2 linked regions of the Schizosaccharomyces pombe genome follow. Changing the gene in region 1 together with any one later gene gives a genetic interaction. Each region holds a gene or a part of one and is shown on either strand. Other genes may lie near its edges.

Region 1 (5,015 bases):
GCAATTGAACTATACTCGGGCTCCTTGGTTGCTAATATCAAACTGAACCAAGCTTTGATTGCATAAAACCTTAAGTGCTCATTTTGAAAAGCACTTTGTAAATTAGAAAGTATCTGTGGTAATCCAAGTTTGACTGCACCTCCACATAAAGATAACATTTTTTCAATGCCGACAATTGTCTTAATCTTTTCATTAATTGAAGTCTTTCCTTTCAGGTCGTTAAGGATATTAGAAAATTCTGCTAAGATACCCAAAATGTGATTATTAAAAAAATCATAAAGTAATTCCTTATTGCTCAAGTCTTCGTCATTAACCACTTGAGAGACAATCATTGCTACCTTTCTTAAAGCATTTTCAATTTTTTCATGAGGAACATCATTCTGATAAAGCTGTAACAACTCCACAGTAATAGAAATAGGATCAGAGCGTAACAAAGACGTTAAATCAACTTTTTCAAAATCAGAAGTGGCCAGTGAAAGAAGAAGCATCACACTCTCTTCCAAATTAGGATGATCCGTAGTAAGTAGCGAAGCAAGGATTTTATGCATATTGGTAAGGCACAAAGTAGCAACATCACTTTGTGAAAGTTCAGCTATACGTACTATTAACGCTTTGTTTTTAGTAAGTACAAGGAATGGTAAAGTGTACGCCTGTGTTCGAATAAGAAAATCGCCCTCGGAAATATTCATAAGCTGAGCAAATAAACTGGCTATGTTCGGTTTTTTACCCATACCTTGGACAATCGCAACGGACACTGTTGGCCAATATGGAGAAAGTAATTGCCAAACGGATATATGACGCGTCGAGGCAATTTGTTGCAGAGCGCTGAGACCAATGCCTTGATAAAATATTCCGCTGTTTATCACAGAAGATATAACTTCCAATAGTACAAAATGTAATTCTTCTTCTTCTACCACTCTAGATAAGGAGATCCAGGAAAGAATGACCGTTTCTAAAATAGCTGTATTTTCCACCGCCAATATTTTCAACGTATTAAAAATCAAGGCTTTACTTTCCTTGTGAAATTCAACTATATCAAGATTATTAGGTCCCTTAATGAAAATGGGCAAAACTTTTGCAGCAACAACACGTAAACATCTTGAAGTACTGGCTAATGCTTTCATAATAAATTCTCTTAAACTTAACATTGATTCTTTATTAAAGTTTGAGCAATGCTGGCTCCACCGAAAAAAGCCATCAAGCAACAATGATTGTTTAACAGAAGAGGAAATTATGTCGGGATTTTTTAGCAATGCACAAAACAATTCGTGATAAGGAATTTTAAAGAGCGACCGCTCATCAAATAGTAAACAAAATGAGTTACAAACTTCACAACCATGTACTTCATATGTGCGGAAAATACTATTTGTTTTCTCATTCACCTTTGCAACATGAGTACACAAAACTAAAGAGAAGTTCTTCAGGTCGTCCTCACTTATTGTAACATTATGAGAGCTATAATAATCTAACATTTCACGAAAGTGCTTTAAATTAGACGGTTCATCTAAGTTGTTGTTTATACACCATTTTGCAAATGTACATATGTTATGACCATTCTGGAAATCCACTTTAAGAATATTTGACAAGTCATTGTCCAAGGAAAGATAATGTAAAAGAAAAAGGTTTAATTCAGAGTTAGAAAACAACGTGTTTTCAAGTTTACCAGTACAAATTTCGCCAAAAGCACGGAGAGTTGTTTGATCTATTTCTGAACTTTGGTATCTGCACTTAAATAATATTATTGCCTTTTTGAGATCAGAATCTGGTTCAAGTTGCTCTAATACCTTGAAGTCAGAAAGTAAGGAAACCCCAAAAGGATAGAATAGACCAGCTACAGTTTTGGGTAAAACAAATAAAGAGAGAAAAAAAAGAGATATAGCAGTATTAGCAACTGTATAAGTTTTCTTCAATGATCCCAATGTTAAGTTGATGGAGGACATTAAAATATGTTTAGATTTTTCACAAATGGGAAGGCCATGATATATAAAATTCAAGGAAAAACAGCATAAAGTTTGGACTATACGTGAATGCAAATGTAGAAAGAGCTGTGAGTCTCCGATGCTGATTCGTTTTAATAAAATAACAAAATTAAAAAAACATGGCTTGATCCAAGTCCACGCTGTAAAGAGAGGTGGACTAGGAAAATTGGATTTCTTTAAATATGAGCATTGTGCAAAAAAATGGGCACTTTCAAAGAAAAATGTACAAGCCTCCTCTATATTAATGATAAGTAAATCAAATTTGTCCTCTCGATGGGTTGGATAATTTGGGGTGATACTCTGCAATGGTTGAGAATTGGGTGAGGGCATCTTGTAAGGGAATGTAGCATTAGTGATTTGGAGAACTATAGAAGAAACGTTTGTAATATAATATTTCCAATAACGCATAAACGAAGCATATAAGTCCCATAGGAATGACTTTTCACTGATTAGCTGATAAATTAGCTTATGAAACTCTTTTAATGAGTCAAATAACTTAATAAAACGAATATCAGCAAACAATGATATAGTCCTGGGTAAAATCCAATCCAAAAGAGTAACAGATGATTTAATCTCCCGCAAAACTGTCGGAGACCTTTTTAAGATTAGCATTAACGCTTGTAGAGAGAGATGGGCTTCTTTTAGCATCTTAGGAGAGATAAATTCAGATTTTGAATCATCATGTTTAAAAGCTAGAAGACCAACTTCAATTAAAACTTCAACAAGCTCGGAGGTCATAGATGGTAAAGAATTACTTCTACCTAACTCATGTTCTTTGTCTAATGCTAATACTTCTTTCAAAAGCTGTCCGAAAGCCTGTCTGTCATCTAAGCCTCTGGGTGAAAGATCGAGTGACCCAGCTTTCCTTTTTGCGTGTTGGCTCATACTATATCAAACCATTGATTCAATTCAAAAAAAGGCCTTTTTAAAACGCAACACGCGCGTTCAAAGTCTTGAGCATTTATAAAAGACGATTGTAAGTAATAAAATATCTCAATAGAATTATGCGAAAAGTGGCAATCGATTATCAAATCGATTTCCACTCACGAGGTAAAGGAAGATGCATGGTGCACTAAGTATCGAGCGATGCTAATTAACGAGCTTTTGTGATACTGAATTTTCAGAGGAAACTAACTTTTAAGTAATATTAGGCTGGATGTTTCTGATAATGATTGAATTTTTTGACTTTTGATGTGATTATAATGGTCAATAAACAAAAAAAAAAGTTATTGTTGAAAGGTAGTAGGAGAGAAAATAAGCTATTTTACGGCTAATAAAAGAAGAAATGAGTTTTAATTCAATTATTTCTTAAATAAATAATAAGAAAATATTGAAAAGATAAGTTATAATCGCACATCCTAGTTCTCATTGACTATAGCGTCAGTGGAGCGTCATACGCAGGGCATTGGTTCACTAGATCGCGGATTCTTCTGTGTTTTATACTTACTAAGCAGTTTTTACTTGGTACCTACCTATTCACATAAATAGTGGTCAAAAAGTCGTTTACTTACTTGAAAATTTTTGTAGTGCCAGTTGTGGTACATATCGTCTTGTGTTTTCATGAAAAAAGTGATTACTACACACTTTTCAATCTGTGGAAATACGAAGTTTACGAATCTTTTGAAACGTGCATATAACGTCTCCTACCCTGTCCAAAACGTCAAAAATAATACAAAGATGGGATTTCCATTGGAAAAAAGCGAAGATGAATGGAAAAAGGAGCTAGGTCCTGAGAAGTATCGAATTATGAGACAAAAGGGTACTGAGCACCCAGGTGCAGGACGATTCACTCATCAGTTCCCTAAACAGGGCGTTTTTGTTTGCGCTGCATGTAAAGAGCTTCTTTATAAAGCTAGCACAAAGTTTGAAAGCCATTGTGGATGGCCTGCGTTTTTCGATAATTTACCTGGAAAGGTGAAACGCATTGAAGACAACTCTTATGGAATGCATCGTGTAGAAGCAGTTTGTGCCAACTGTGGTGGTCATTTAGGCCATATTTTTAAAGGAGAAGGTTATTCTAATCCTACTGACGAACGCCATTGTATAAATTCGGCGAGTTTGGAATTCCATAATGAGGCAACAAATGACAATTGAACTAGATTATGCTTAATATTTCTGTATTTTCTTTATTAGATGTTAGCACCAGTTCGAATTGTTTGTGCTTGATGTACGGCTATTATTTTATTTAAAGTTGCTTGTTCACGTTTTGGTTAACTTCAATAAAATGCATTTACTTTTAACATTTTAAACTAATATATTTTGTTTTCAAAGAGTGTAGTAATCTCTAGGTCAGAAATTAGATTTACTAGCCGTATGTTATAACTAAGCTGCTTATGCCAAAGTTAATAAACGATAACACAATGTTTACACTACCTGATATGATCTTCCATTTATTTCAACTATAAAGGGTATAACTAAAGTATCCCTCACTTAAATATTTATTAATTTGCGTACGCTTCATAGGTCATTGAAAAATTTTCGTTCTTTTTTCAGAAGATTTTAAGAAAGGAGTAAAAGATGCGTGGACTACAATAATACGCGAAGGATCCGAAAATGTCATTACATTATACTGAATAAGTATAGGATGATTCTCCTTTTACGACGAATCCAGCAATGGCTTTATATATTGGCACATTTCCATCCGTCATGTCAACCACCAAATGGATGGACTGATTATCAAGAGCGAACAGTAGTACAGTACGCGCGACGTTTTCACGAGACATCATACAATTTATGGATATCTTACCCAATGCAACTTTTCCAGAACCCTTCTCGTCTGTCATACCAGAAGGACGTAAAATCGTCCAATCAATATCACTAGAGCGTCGCACTAATTCCTGATCCGCTAGGTACTTGTAATGGTAATAAGTTCCAATTGACTGATGTATTTTCTCACTTAGCTCTATATCAGCAGCCGTATAGTAAGGAGGAGGAGGTTGGCTCATATCACGATTATCTATCGCAGATATCATAATTAAGCGTCGAATACCAGCTATCCTCATAGCATCATAAACTTTTATAGCACCTTCATAATCG
Region 2 (7,730 bases), 2.3 Mb from region 1:
CAACTATTTCAGAGTCCTCATCAGCATTGTTGTTTTTCACGCGAACAAACCCAACTTTTGTATTAGACTTTTCTAATTTTTGCTTATAAACCTCTTCAATAAACTCAACAATCCAACTCTGAAATTCGGGCTGAATGATTGGAGGTAAATGACTTTTAATGTGCCATGAAACAACTGTCTGTGGTTCTTCATTTGTAGCTGAAAAATTTGCTGCCACCATTTTTCCTCCATAATTAACGGAATCCATCCATAAAAGATAATCCCAGTATTCCGTGACATTTAGATCCAAAAAGTGAAATAGTGGTAACGTCTTAATGGATTTGAGTAAATAATTTGAATAAGTGACAGCGTTCTGGACGATTAATTTGCTCGTTTTGATTAATATTTTATTAGCAGAAGCGTGTATGATATGTGCTCCAAGGCGTTTTATCTCAGAGAGAAGTTGTAAAAAAGTTTTTCTCATTATAACTTCCACGTGCGAGGAGAGTAAAGGACTGTACAGATAAGATTTTGATGAAGAAATCCATCGGGCTAAATGTTGAATTATAAGATCAGCGAGATTATTACCGGATGCAGCTTCGTTCCACCAAGTTTTAACCAACGCCTTCAACACCGGCAATGAATGTGTCAGTCCAATATTATCATGTATTCCCAACTTTTCCTCCAGATCATCATTTATGGCGGTCATGTAATTATCATTCAAAGCTGCCATGTCGCCAATACCTTCTATGTCATTTATGAGAGCAGAATTGAGAATGCTACAAAGTGCAAGGTTGGAAAGAGAAATGTCAACACAAGCATTTGAATAAGCACCAGGATTGTTAACTTCTAGTGGATCTTTGGGACTGGCAATCTGCAGAATACTATCCTTCTCAATACCACCTAAGTCTGGAGTTGGGCCTTTATTCCACCAAAGGATAATATTATGTTCTTTCAGCTTTCTAGAGTAAACAACATCGATACTGTACTGAATGTCATCGCTTTCAAAGTTGCATAATGGGATATCTGAGAAGCGAGAAAGTTGTATGCGATGGAAAAGCCAGCTACCAATAGCTAAGAAATGTTGGATCATTTTCGTAGCAATGTGTTGTTTCCAAGAAAGAGACTGTATGTTGCTCTCAAGCCGTGGTATCATTATATACGGAAGCTCTTCAATTTGCTTCACATTTGCCTTCAATATGTGAGGGAGTGAACTTTCAATAATAAGCAGACTATTTTTAGTTTTAGTTGAAAAATATTGAAGCAACTTTTCATCTATCAGTTTGTACGCTTTCCTTTCGTTTCCCGAGAAAATGACATTACACGAAAGAGTATCAGGGTATTCGATACTACTTTCCTTAATTAAATTATCAAATTTCGACCGTAGCTCTTCGTAAATTTTGCTGATTGATGGGAAAGACATATCACTACCTGGCAGTTTGTCATAAATTATGGCCTCAACTTTTTTTAAATGTGGCATAAAAAGTGAAAAAACAAACCTATTACTAATGGAAAAATGGAATGCATAAAGGTAGTTCATCTCTACTCCATCAAGATAGGAAACATCGTTATCACTTGGGTCAGTGAACATTTTAGATTCAAATCCAAATTCGAAGCCTTTACCTAACGCTCCAGGTACTGAATTATTAAACCTTTTTCTGGATCCCATTTCTAATATCAATCTTTCAATTGGTTCTATACGAGTCTCATATATTCCACTAACAGACGGATGGGCAAAAATCATAGAAATTGATACCTTTTCCGTTAAATAGCTCTTTTCTGGAATTTCAAGTAAAAAAAGCTTATCCGAAGTGCTTCCATGCGGTAATATCGCATTGCTTTTTTCAATTAAGCATCCCTCAATTTCAACATTCGGTAAAGTCTCATCTTTGAAACATACAAAAAACTTTCTATTCACAATGAACCGTATCGAGGTCAACCGATTACGAATAATTACCCAAGCATGTAAAATACCAGGAACATCGGTTTCTCGTATTTGTAAAATATGCCATAAATTTTCAAACATAACTTCAGCAGAAGATTGTAAAACATTGGTGAATTGCCTTGATTGAAACCCAATTAAATGTCTTCTTCGAAGCTTGACCTGCTTCTGATATTTCCACTTTTTCTTAGCATACTTAAGCCAATTCGAATATCCATCCATAAAGGATACAGGTTTTACTTCAAAAGATACAGGTGCTTCCGAGTTCCCAGATTGTTGTAAAAGTTTACGCTTGGTAACTCGAGCGACAATACGCTTATCTTTGTGAGTCACACTTCCTAAATCCTCAATATCAGTAACTTTTGTGTTGTTTATTGTGGATGGATTTGTAGGGGCTAAGGAGAAAATGGAATCGATCTTTTTCTGTTGGTATTTAGAATTCAAGACAGCAACTCGTTTTTGAAGCCAGTCCGGCAATGGAAAACGGGTAACGGGGTTTGAAATCCTTTGGAGAGCAGCAGGGATGCTAATTAGTTTTTGTACTACTGATCCTAGACGTTTCAAATAATAATCCCAATCAATAATGTCTCTAATATCAACATCATATAGACCATTATCTTTCAACCAGAGCCTAAGAAAATGTCGCTTAACAGATTCTTCAGCAAAGAAAATAGCTACCGGTACTGCCCTTTCTGCAACTGGCCTTCCTTTTGGACTTGCGGAAATAATAAAACGACATGCTAGACCTTTGTCTTTGGTCATTTGATCACCCAAAAAGTCAGCCAGTCGCCTGGCTGTAGTAATGGATGTCGATTTTTGGCTTCCGTATTCAGACAAAGCTTTAGACATACTACGATTCTCAGAAATCAGTTCAATTAATTCATCATCTGTTAGGTTAGAGCCTTTGGTGAATAGAATCTCTAACCAAGTGTCAGCAACATAGGCAACTTCTTGATAGCATTCCTCTAAAGAATCACCTTTCAAAAAAACTTTAAATATCTGAGATTGAAAATCCTTAATGAGCTTCAATTCTCCTCTTCTTTTCACCTCAAAGCCTTTAAGTTCAGCTAAACTACCATCGAAATTGAAAACGGCATAACGCTTTTTTAAGTTTTTACCTTCTTCCGTTGAAGCAGGCAAAATCATAGCTCTATAAGGACCATCAACCTCAAAAAAAATGCTGTTTTCACTAGTTGTTTCATACACCAATTTCTCTGGGTCCTTTAAGGCAGAATATTGATGATTGGTGAACTTTTCATGAACCAGGTGATTTAACATAACGCATGGATAAGAGATAAAAACCTTTCCTCCGGATTTCTTTTTAAATTCAAAGTTTTCAGGAAACGATTCTGGAAGAATACACCAAATACCATCTGTGTCAAGTTCCAATGGCCTACCTGCACGTTCAACTATTTGACGAGCCATCTGAATAATCGTAGCGCCTGTCAAACATGTGATACCAGCCATTTCAATCGAATACCAACGGGAGCCTTTTCGCATGACATATCCATAGAAAGAGTTTAAAATAACTTTGTGAGCTAACTGTAAAGAATCGTAGAGTACGACCATCTTTTTGGCCTCCTCTATTTCAGCAAGTCCTCCTTTTTCCTTTATAGCAGCAAGTTGTTTGACCCATTTTTTTTGCAATCCTTTAAAGTCATAACGGCGATCCCTAAAGCTTTTTACCGTATCAATATAAAATGAGTTTTCCTTTTGACAAATTATAGTTTCCCTTTCGATAACGGTATTATCATATAGACGGTGATACACTTTACGGCTGTAATCCGCAATGCGCTTTTGCACCATAGCAGCTTGTTCTGAGGGAGAAAGCTCTTGAAATGACCTAAAAGGTGAGAAAGGGGTAGGGCCTGGAAAACGCTCAGATTGTAAAGCAGAATATATCATATGATATTCACCTTTTTTAGCAGGGTAATACTCCCCTCTCCATGCCCATACCATCCGACGATCACATGTCTTATTGGGCACATTAAGATCGCATGTTGCACAAAACGATTCATCTTTTACTGAATCTGGCTGTAACCGGTTGGTAATCATAATATTTGGGTACATTGAGGCGACATCAAGATGGTAAATCCTTGGCTTCTCCGACCTTTTTGGTCGATCACGAAGGTCACTTAGTTTCTTTAATATGCTGTCTCTAACCTCTTCATAATTTTCGATTTCATCAACATTGACGTTGTTTTCAACTGTTAAAGAAAAATCTAAGGCTTTGTCCAACTGTAAAATTAGTTCTTCATAAACTTTTGGATCCATGTTGAAATTAGTCGGCAAGTCGCTTCTAAAAACACCACTTTCAAGACTTTCAACATGTCCTCCAACATAAGTCTCACTTGCAAGTAAATGACCGTCGAAAAATTTTTGACTAGCATCAACATGTTTATTCGGAAGAATAATATTTTTTGTACAAGCCTCAACAGTTAAAAGCGTTTCACACAACGTACCCGTGCCTTTACGTAAAACTTCATCAGGATTTAATGGGATAATGTTACAAAGAGAAAAAATGAAAGGATGCACATATTTCATGTAAAGAAAATAAGTAGCAACAGCATCTGAAACTGAATATTGAGCAAGAACTTGAGGTTTTTCACTTGCATAAGGAGTCATCAATTCTGGATCTAGTTCGATAGGATTATAACCTAATTTACTGACAGTGACAGCTTTGAGACCTTGACTTCCTTGAGGTAAATAACTATCTCTCTTTACCCACCGGAAGGCATCCATATGACTACAATAAGAAGACTTATATTCATCCTCTGCGTCCCTGAAGAAACCAGTTTCTTCTGTTAAATTCAATCCGTGAAATGCAGCACGTGCGTCTACAAATGGCCAGTCAAAGAAGTCACCATTGTATGTAACTATTACTGAAGGCTTTGCAGACCTTATATGTTTAAAGAATCGATGAAGTAGGCCAACTTCATCAGGCTCATTAAAAATAATAAATGGGCCCTCAAATTCCTCCCTCGGAGTATAATGAAAATCTTCAATATTCTGGGAAATAATTTCTCTATTGGTAATTAAAAATCCTTGGCCATCAATCATATAAGATATCATCATTATTTTATCGAACGAGCTATCAGGAAACTTCAATGGCAGCTTAGTGGTTTCAATATCAAAAGCCATTATAGTAGGTTCTGCACGCTCGATTCGGGAAGCTAAAAGGGATATTTGAACATGGCCTTCATGATATGAAACAGTATACCATTGTCCGACTCGAATATTCAAATCAATAAGTGTACGAGAATGATACGGAACATCGTACTCACGGATATCTAAAACATGATTTAAAGGATCTTCAAATGCGTTTTCTATAATCCCGTTTAAATTCTCCGAAGACAAGTTAGTGTATGCATCAACGGCATCTTGTTGGGAAGAATTAGCTTTCACAGCAGACATCAAAGACTTCCTGACAGCCTGAAGGTCATTCAGGTTATCAAAAACCAACTTTATATACAACTTTTGGTAACCCACTATGTGGTTTTTTAGCTGTAAATCTTCTTTAAAGATACGCGTAGTAGATTTAATTAAGCCCACAAATTTTTTTTTTAAATAATCGTCAACCAAAGCTTCTTTACCTTCTCGAGCAGCAATGTAGAAGTAAGGAGAGTATGGAATGGTACACCGGAAAGTGTCACCATCGTCTTGAATGAAGTAAAAGTCAACGGCACTGAGGGTAGAATTGCCTTTGGTGCTTTCGATTACTGTTGGATGAACGTTGAGAAGCCAAGCTTCTCGTGGTTGTCCACCTTCATAGCTATCAAAACCCATCATTCGATCAATCTCATTCTTTTTGTAGACAATTTTCATAGGATCATTGAAGCCAACTTCCTCGGTTGATTTTGCAAACGTCCTACCGTTCGATTTACTTTTTCCATTGTAGTTACCATTAAATTTCCTAAACTGATATTTGGATGCTCCTCGAGCTGTTTTTAAGGGCATAGCAATACAAAATAAATATTAAAAAAAGAAAGTAAAAAGAGACCGACAGTTTAGTAATTTCCGATTGTTACCAGAGAATTCTAAATTAATAAATGGAATAGTATTAAGAAGAAACTTCTTCTATTGTACAAACATTAGGTATCCTTTTAAATGTGATATAGTGGTTTGGATTAATACCGAGTTAAGAGGCAACAAATTGGTAAACAACAAGTCGCGTCGCGTCGACAACTTGCAAATTATTTTGGGTATCATGTTCCAGTTCAAAGCATTACAATTTATTTATTTTTGCCATAAAATAAAGACAAAGTACAAAAAAATACAAAATTTAGTATACATTAGCCTAATGATCGTGTGTTTCGACCGTAAGTAATTATTTCAAATCGATATTGCTTCCTTTAAGGATTGAATTTAAAGAAAAAAAAAAAAAAAAAAAAAGCAGTTTTCTTTTAGAGAAGCATGGTGACGCGGTTTCTGCTTTCAGTGATATAAATTGTCAAAGCTTGGTTATTTTGGCGAAATATACTATCATAAATGGAAAAGTTTATATTAATTCAAAGAAAAAAATATTGTCTGATTGCTGAAGTACAGGATTAAAGACCCCGCCATAGTAAAAAAACTTAGTAGTGCTTAATTCAATCAGTTTGATACCTTATATTTACCTCTATTCCACCATTAACTGAAAAAGCTTAAACGAATCAGTAACTATGAGTACACCAAATGAACCCGAAAAACCTGGGATTATTGACGCTTTCAAGGTAGAATTTATAGCTTAAAAAGGACTAGTTTGTTGTAAATGCAAGGAATGCTAATACTACTTGTAGTCATTGAAGATGAGTGATTTTGCTCACATGGTACACCATCCTTGTTTTAAGGAATCATTAATCACCAGTGTCGTCTGTGGTCTAGGTGTTGGTTGCATCCATTTGTTTCTTCGAGGTACGAAAAAAAACATTATGCTGGTTAATTGATGTCCGTCAAAAAAAATCGCATGTCTTTTAATTTTCGGACCAACTTTTTAAAACGGTGATTTCAATCCGTTGTTTAATAAGCGGTTTAAATTCTTGCCGACACATGCTAACAATATTCAAGCACCTATTTCTAGAGCTGCTAATTGGGGGTTCGGAACTTATTTTGGAATGAGCATCGTCTCTTGGGAAGGGTGTAATTACCGCAAGCAGCTTGAAACTAATAACTTCAACATTAAAATTACAGAAGCAGCAGAAAAGACCCCGAAGCATCGCTCTTCAAGGTCCGCTCAAGAAATTGATGAAGGTTTTAACGAGTAATTGCATTCATTTGATTCTTTAGGTTCTACTTATTCTTAAGCTCTTTTCATCCCTCTATTGCATGGTATGCTGAGTTTTTCATTTGATCGATTAACTCTTATTCAATTAATATTTTAAATTTGAGTTCATCGGAATGGTTTGTCATTTTTAAATGGTATTCATTGAAGAGTGTGAATTATCACCAAAGAATCCAATGTTGAATTTTTAACTGCCTCGAAGAATTCAATCTTTTTAGGGTGCCATTACAATGGGTGGAATACATACTCTTGGTATCTTGAACGTTGTATTAACAGCAAAAAAGTCTTAAAAATATACAGCATCCACATTTTCCCAATATTAACTAAACAATGGTAGACTTTTTGTTCGTTATTTACTTTATAAGTACTAGCTCATCTCAATCTTTCGTGCGTGTATGTTTACCCCTTTATCGTAAAGTCAGTCTACGACCTTGCGAGGGCATCGCATGATTTCAGCTAAAAACTTTCCAAAATAAAAGTAACAAGACCTTTATGGTGGTTTATTTCTACTAACTGGATGAATAAGCTATGTGATATTTTTGAATGTAA

The links.
Region 2: mutations in rad3 (region 1) and cdc20 are lethal when combined (synthetic lethality), as found in Schizosaccharomyces pombe (3 studies listed by BioGRID, with this or other methods).

What each region holds. Positions count from the first base shown.
Region 1 is NC_003423.3:902,214-907,228, reverse strand, and holds the start of rad3 (ATR checkpoint kinase Rad3), read right to left. Parts: upstream 3,046-5,015; 5' UTR 2,865-3,045; coding exon 1-2,864. Other genes in the region: peptide-methionine (R)-S-oxide reductase Mxr2, read left to right, coding at 3,657-4,073; SPOM_SPBC216.03 (uncharacterized protein), read right to left, coding at 4,544-5,015. UniProt on the Schizosaccharomyces pombe protein: Serine/threonine kinase which activates checkpoint signaling upon genotoxic stresses. Involved in G2 arrest following DNA damage where it phosphorylates chk1.
Region 2 is NC_003423.3:3,252,037-3,259,766, reverse strand, and holds the start of cdc20 (DNA polymerase epsilon catalytic subunit Pol2), read right to left. Parts: upstream 6,046-7,730; 5' UTR 5,879-6,045; coding exon 1-5,878. Other genes in the region: respiratory chain complex IV assembly protein Cox20, read left to right, coding at 6,583-6,633, 6,700-6,814, 6,968-7,164. UniProt on the Schizosaccharomyces pombe protein: DNA polymerase II participates in chromosomal DNA replication.